Drosophila melanogaster: one gene and its partner. The protein of the gene in region 1 interacts with the protein of each later gene in a pairwise test. Each region holds a gene or a part of one and is shown in the gene's direction. Other genes may lie near its edges.

Evidence for each region.
Region 2: the proteins of CG4375 (region 1) and CG9609 interact in a two-hybrid assay, tested with the Drosophila melanogaster proteins (one large-scale study listed by BioGRID).

The regions. Positions count from the first base shown.
Region 1 is NT_033779.5:1,025,323-1,028,913, reverse strand, and holds CG4375 (uncharacterized protein), read left to right. Parts: upstream 1-2,016; 5' UTR 2,017-2,128; coding exon 2,129-2,638; 3' UTR 2,639-2,809; downstream 2,810-3,591.
Region 2 is NC_004354.4:16,784,933-16,788,855, reverse strand, and holds CG9609 (uncharacterized protein), read left to right. Parts: upstream 1-1,847; 5' UTR 1,848-2,105; coding exon 2,106-2,291; intron 2,292-2,351; coding exon 2,352-3,377; 3' UTR 3,378-3,741; downstream 3,742-3,923. Other genes in the region: Sap30 (SIN3-associated polypeptide 30), read right to left, coding at 161-289, 514-906; mRpL22 (mitochondrial ribosomal protein L22), read right to left, coding at 3,893-3,923.

The DNA.
Region 1 (3,591 bases):
GCGGAAAAAAGATATTGAATGGCCAATGAACCGTGGCAGACACTCGTCCGCCTCCCCCACTCCCGATTGGCAGGAAAAATCGCAGATAATCAAGAGCAGCCTGGGAAAAGTCCAGCTGGGAAATTGACAAAGGCGGCTAATGAATAATAACCGCAATCATCGTTTATATGCAGGCATGTAAGAGGAGTCCTATGCTCAGGCAACAGAAGATAGCAATAAAATTTGAGATCGATGCGACTACGATGCTGCTCAGTAGATCATTTGAAGTGTCCTTATTTAAATTCAGATAGGATGCGAATCCGAATGCATTGTATCCTTAAAGATCAGCAAAGAATTAAAAGCCCAAAAGCTGACTTGCCAATTGATCATAACTTGGTTTCATGTGACACAAAATATTTAATGGCCAGTTATGAGTGAGATGTGTGCAGGTTTTTGAGGCTGCTCTCGAGCATTTATCACCAAATTTAATAGGTTTATTAGCCCGTGTCGCTGGTCCCTTTGAGATATATATCCGTTCGTAAACCTGACATAATGCGAATTGGAATCGCTGTCTGGCGGGCACTTTGAGAGGCATTCGAGTTGCCAGCGAGAAAATGTCATAAAAATTAACGTGCCATCGTAAATATCTGGCCATATATGTATATGTTCGCATACGGGGGCAATGTTATATTTAAGTGCAAATATGCGTAAAATTGTTCAAAGGACAGCCCATGCACAGCAGTTACATTTATACATTTTGGCACATTCGAAAAATGGAGCCAAACAAAACGAGAAAATGGCGCGGCAACTGGTTGCTACTCCCTTGTTCCAGATCCCAGCACATATACACATACTCGCATGGTAGGGAAATGGGAAATGGAAAATGGCCTAGGCGCTGACCCCACCCCATTCCCTCCCTCCCACATCCCACCAAATATCCCCATCGAGTTGGCCGCAAGGCAAATCCCTGCAATTACTTTGTTGGCACTTTGTTTTGACTTGCCTTTTGAAGTTCCCATTTTTGGGGCAAGCTCGTATTTCTTTTTTTTTTTTGCCTTTTCGAAAGCTCGCCCTTGGCAGCGGACTATTAGTGTATTTTAATGGCAACTAGAGAGCGAGGGAAAACTACGGAAAACCCTCGTGTGCTGCGTAATGTATGTAAATGTATTTATTTGCCACAAAGTGGGCGAAGCAGAGAAACCTTTGGCAAACGCAAATAAATGTTAATATAATGTTAATATTGTTTACTTCTCCTTCGCCTTCGCCTTGGAGGTGTAACAAAGAAGTGCCCCTTCCCAAGGGCAGGGAAATGGGAAAATGGGAAGTCGAGGAAGTGCTTCTCCGCCTGCGGCAAGTGTTAGGATAAAAAACATGCGTTCCTCGATGGGCCGACAAAAACATGCAAAAATTCATTGAGCCAAAAGCCAGGGAACAAACCAACAGCTGCTCACGATTGCCAGTCTGTTCTGGATGGGATGGGGAAGGCGTTTGGTGTGCGTGGTTATCCCACCCAGAATTCAGGGAATCTGGGAATCAGGGAACAGGACATGTGTAGGCGTGCGGAAATTTAATAAGAACTGGATTTTATGCGCCACGCATACGCAAATAAGCGTTTTGCCCCCCGTCCAAAGGATAATGTGTATTTATGTGTTCCTATTGCGATGTTTGGCCTGCTGTAATCACGCTCCATTGGGCGTCTCTAATTTGGCATTAACACAACCGCTACCCGCCCCCTGGAGCACAAGGCGCCCTTCGACCTCCGGGCCACCCACTCGAGTGACCTTTTGAACTAATGATTTGATTTATCTCCCGGAGGCCGCGCAATTAAATTGCCCCACCTGCGTGGCACACTTTGTGGCGCCACTGTAATGGATTTAGGCGGTGGGCCACACAAATTAGGGTCAAAACTCAAATATTTCTTCATTAGATGGTTTGCTGGAATGGGAAACGCTAGATTTTCTAACATTTAATCAAAGCAGGCAGGTCCTACATACGTTAAAACTTAAATAAACATCAAATCTCAGTACTTTCCTTCTCCTCGTGCGATACGCAGCTAGTTTTTGAGAATTAACAAAAATTCTCAGTGCAAACAAAATTTGAAAAAAAAGTGATAAAACGCGACATTTCTTTGAAGCTGTAGAATTCAGAAATGTCCAGCAAGAAGCGCATAGATTTAAAACCCGCGTCCTTCGAAGACTTGGCCAATCAGGTGTTCGAAAAGTCGAAACAGATGAGTATGTCAATGAAGGAGCAGTGCAAGTTGGTCCAGGAGTATTTGAAAGCTAGGCTCGATGGGAGTGATGGAAGCGATGCAGAATATAATAGTGATTCCTATTCAGATTTTGAATCCGAGTCGGATTCCGATTCCGATTCCGATTTCGAGGAGGATTCCCTTACTGATTCCGATGAGCAAACAGAGGAGAGCAGTGATGAGTCCGAATCGGAACACAGTGAAGTCGAGGAGCGTACCAAACCATCAGATACTCACAAGACTACCAACGGAGGTCTCTGCGAAAAACCAATCTCCAAGGTCGAGCCTGAACAATCTCGGCTCGTGGCCTTTGTGGCTCCTCTCAAGTCCCCTGCCCCCCGCATCCACCGTCGACTGACTATGGCTGGTGGCGTTATAGCTCCTCATAGTCGCAGTAGTGCCTTCTAAATCAAGGAATCATTGTGTAGAATCATTGGTCAAGCTAGGAGCTCGAGGTTTCTCCAATCGATTTTATTGTTTACACATAGTTTGTATTTAAATCATTTTGTAGTACTTTGTAATTAAAAATCATATCGCGACTCATTTTGAAATAAACGTACCACGTTCAGTAGCTACCGTAATGCAATTTCTCCATTTCAACTTAAAAATTGGAAAAAGTAGGTCATATTTAATTTGACATTTTCGGGACAACTTTAATTGGTCGCTTGGGGCTGTAAATCGGAAACTTTTGGGGCGTCAAATATTTGACCTAAGTGTGCTTTCACTTCAACGATAAATTGGGCGATTTTGTCAGCCAAATGTTTTGGGGAAAGTTTGCGGAATAATTTGCAGTTGTTTTTTAGACTATCCTTGACTATCCTCGTTGAACTTTCGGCGGCCATAATTTATGCAAAACATCTAATGAATTTTTCATGCCCAACAGCAGCACACAAACAGCCGCAGTGGCAGGGCAACAACTCTGCGGAAATTAATGAAATTCATAAGCGAGTTCCATTCTCCAGTTTTCCCGGTGCCATCAGCCCAGCCGCTTGCTCCTTTCTTCGATTTCGCCCTGCCCATTAATGAGCGCAAATTAAAAGCTGCCTAAACATTAATGAGAACCAAAGAGCCGAGAAATACTAAGAGACGTGGAAAGTGGGGAAAATGAAGGGCCACGTCACGGCGGCCGGGAAATGGCGAAAAATGTGGCCCACGTAATAAGCAATCGAGATTTGTGTGTATTCTTTTATGGCAAATTGGAAAAGTAATTACACATTAAATCTATTGAAACGCAAAGTGGTGGCGACAATGGTCATAACTTACATATTTGCATTTAATTAAATCAATTGCAACGGCTAAATCAACTGATTTTTATCATTGTGAAAGGTGTATCCCATTAAATTGTGTTTTATTTGGTGTGC
Region 2 (3,923 bases), on another chromosome or scaffold:
CTCGTTCATCCCTATTCTGGTCAACAATGCCGACGTCCAGCAAATGCAGCAACAATGTGAGAAGTTTGGTTGTTAATTTCTTTTGATCGGCAGTTGGCCAGCGTTAAAAGGAGTAGACGTCGTCGGCGTCCTCCTCCTCCCTCCGCCCGCCGACGCGCCTTCAGGTGGTGTCGTTGCCAAGGCCGTTCTTCTGGTCCAGCTTATTCGAGCCCATCTTCACCATGTACACGAAGAATGTGATGATCTCCTTCTCCTTGATGGGTATTGTCTTGAAGTGTTTCATAATTGTCTGCGGGAGAAGAGTAGAGGTTTGCAACTTGATTAAAACAGGGTTTAGAAAACCTTATAAAGGGCATGGCACATTTTTCTGCCTTTTCTTTAGAGTGGAGGCTACTACAAGAGGGCCAACTATGGAGCATCACGGAGCACATTAGACCAGCGTGTTACCCCACTGAAATCCGGCAACAGAAAGTGGACATAGCCTGCTCAATTCGTTAACTAGGTCAAACTTACATCCGCCAGCTGCGCCCGCTTCATGCCCTGCCTCGTTTGGACCTTGAAGTGGCGCTTGTAGCGTCGCAGCGTGCTCACGCCCAGCTGGTAGAGATCGGGGAACTCGTGCAGGTCCGTGTCCGTCTCGTTGCTGTCGTCCTCGCTGTCCTTGCGCCGACGCTTGGTGCGCACCGACTGGATGCGCTCCTTGTGGTGGTCACAGATGTAAATGTGCTGCGCGGCCGGATCGCTGCTGAGCTTGAGCCGCTTTTGGGCCACCGTCTTCTGGATGCGCTTGGAGTAGCTGGCGTAGCCAGCCTGGTTGCGACACCGCTCCATGTCGTCGATTAGGCAGCACGTTTGGTCCGTGTGCCCGCGACTGTCCTCCTCGCCGGTGCTGAATCCGTTGTTCATCCTGTTCCCGATCCTGGCCGATTGCTTTCGAGTTCCTATCCAATCCCCCTTCCTGCTCTGCTTGCTGCTTCTCTGATTTTCTCCGTTTCGCTCCTTTGTCTCCTCTTTCGTCTTTCTCACTTTCGACTATTGCTTTGCTTTGTTTCTCTTTGCAAGAAAAAAATTTTCTTTCGACAGCGCGATGTGACCAAACTGGGAAATGGGGAAATTCCTCCGCAGCTGGCAAGAGCGGACAATTTGAAACTGTTTGCAGTTTCTCAAATATCTTAAATATCAAGTGCATTTTTTTCCAGATTATCGATCAATATTTTTTAATTGGTATTAATAATCGCACAAAATATTAATTAAATAAATATTAGTTAATTTCAGTACTTAAATTTAAAAATACCGTGTACCAAAATATAGTTACCTTTTCCAGCATTGATTCCAATTCCGATAGGTACCGCACACCGGTACGATAGTTGAGCCAATTACCGTTTTTGTCATCACTAGCTCACGTTAGTGCAATGAAATTTGAATTTCCTTTTTCTCAGGCGTATCTGACTGCTTGTCTATATAGAATATTATTATACTCGTCTTCAGACCAATTCTTGATTGTAGTTTCTGAGACGGGGGACTAACAAGCATATATTTGTTAAATGCATCGACGCAAGGAATTTTCACCGTAGTGAGTTGGAGAATTAAACAGAATCATTCAAAAAGACTGGGAAAAGGAATACGCAGAATTTTCTGCAAATAAACAACGGGGTTACTGCAAACTTTTCCCAGGCACATTAAAAAAAATCTTAGCTATAACGTATGTGACAATTATATTTTGAATAAATGAATAATAATGTGACCAATGTAACGTTTTCGATAACGTATCGTACATCTTATTCAGTTGTTGCAGTACAACACTGCTAGGCAGCAATTTCCAGCCCTGGAAAAATACCAAAAAATCTACCATCTCTCCAAAAACGAAATCATAAACGCTTACCAGGGACATCATCGATTTTCTACACCAAATTAAAAGAAACCTATAAGTTATAGATTTGCTACACCAAATTGAAATAAAATCAATCTCTTCAACCTTAAGTCCTTGGCTATTTCCACGTACACGAGTGTGGCCAAATAATTCCACGACATTTGCGGATGTCGCGGTAACCTAAAACACAAAAAAAAAAGAGATTGCAATATTTCGGAGATAAAAACCCTCAAAAATGCCGCCTGGAACGCAAATTGCCAGCGACAGCGATATGGAGACCGCTCTGGAGGAGTTCAAGCAGCGCCAGGGACGCCGCAACAGCATCGGCTCGGCCAAGTACGCGTGCAGCATGCCCAAATGCGAGGCCACATTCAAGCGGCTGGACCAATTGGATCGCCATGAGTATCATCACACAGGGATTGTGAGTATAGTTAGAGTATGTTAAGTGTAAGCCAGTAGTAACGCCGCCACCACTTTGCAGAAGAAGCACGCCTGCTCGTACGAGGGTTGCGACAAGACGTACTCGATTGTGACGCACTTAAAGAGGCATCTGCGCAGCACCCACGAGCGTCCGGAGTCGGCGGCCAAGAAGACGGTGAAGTGCGCGCTGGAGGAGTGCAGCAAGATGTTCATCTCGGTTAGCAACATGACCCGCCACATGCGCGAAACCCACGAGAGCCCAAAGGTCTATCCGTGCAGCCAGTGCAGTGCCAAATTCTCGCAAAAGCTCAAGCTGAAGCGCCACGAGATCAGGGAGCACACGCTGGAGTATCCGTACAGCTGCTCGAAGTGCTCGCGCGGCTTCTACCAGCAGTGGCAGTGCCAGAGTCACGAGCCCAGCTGCAAGCTGTACGAGTGTCCCGGCTGCCCGCTGCAGTTCGACAAATGGACGTTGTATACGAAGCATTGTCGCGACTCGTTGCACGGCAAGAATCGCCATAAGTGCGACCGCTGCGATAGTGCCTTCGACAAGCCGAGCGAACTGAAGCGTCACCTCGAGGTGAAGCACAAGGAGGCGGCGCAGACGGATGAGTGCGCCACCTCCTTCACCTGCAACGAGGAGGGATGCGGCAAGAGTTACTCGTACCTCAGGAATCTACGCCAGCACATGCTCACCGCCCACTCGGGCAGGCGTTTCGAGTGCCAGGCCTTGGACTGCGGCCGCTGTTTCAGCAGTGCGCAGAATCTGGCGAGACATCTGCTCAGGGATCACAAAGATGGTGCGACGAAAAAGGAATTGAAAGCCAAGAAGAAGGACAAGAGTAAGACTGGAGAAGGGGGCAAAACTAAGTCCACATCCCGCAAGCGACGACGCGATGCTGGACGCAGCAAACATTCGAGGCTATCCAAACTGGCCTGCCTGCAATTGGACAAGGAAGATGATGAGGCGGTGCGCGAGCGACAGCCTTTGGTCCTCGAAAAGATCACCCAGTCGCTGAAGGATGACCCCGTCGAGGAGCTGCTGGCACAGACCCTGCAGGATGAAGAGGAAAAGGAGCAGGAGTAGAGCAAAAGGCCATTCAAAGGGACGGGAGTGAGAAGGTCTGGTCAAGAGGCTAACAATTGAATGACTACTTTAATTTAAACCACAACTTCTAAAAGAGAAACAACTAATTTATCAGTAAATACTTAGGATTTGCGTTCAGAAACATCCGAAATTGCATTAATTTGCATAAATTAGTAAGCTATTATTAGTAGTATTCGCCTGGAGCGAATTAGTTTATTTACTTTAAGCTTACAGTTGCAAACATTCCCTGACTTCAACTAGAGTTCCGAAACTCTCGGGCATCCAGAGAGAAAACCAATAATATCCATTGTGTATATACGCGCAAAACTAAATAAAATAAACTCCTCTAAGTAAAAATAAGAACAATATGAACCTCTGACATAGTTCTTTTGTCTGTTTCTATTTTATTAAACAATCTTCTAAAACCAAAAAAAATGCTTAATGCGCGTGGACGCGATGGCGATGGAGGACTGCAGGAGTGCGGATCGATTGCATACGAGTGCCAATTCAGGTGGCTACAGCGAGTTGATGATCTTCCGGCTTCGC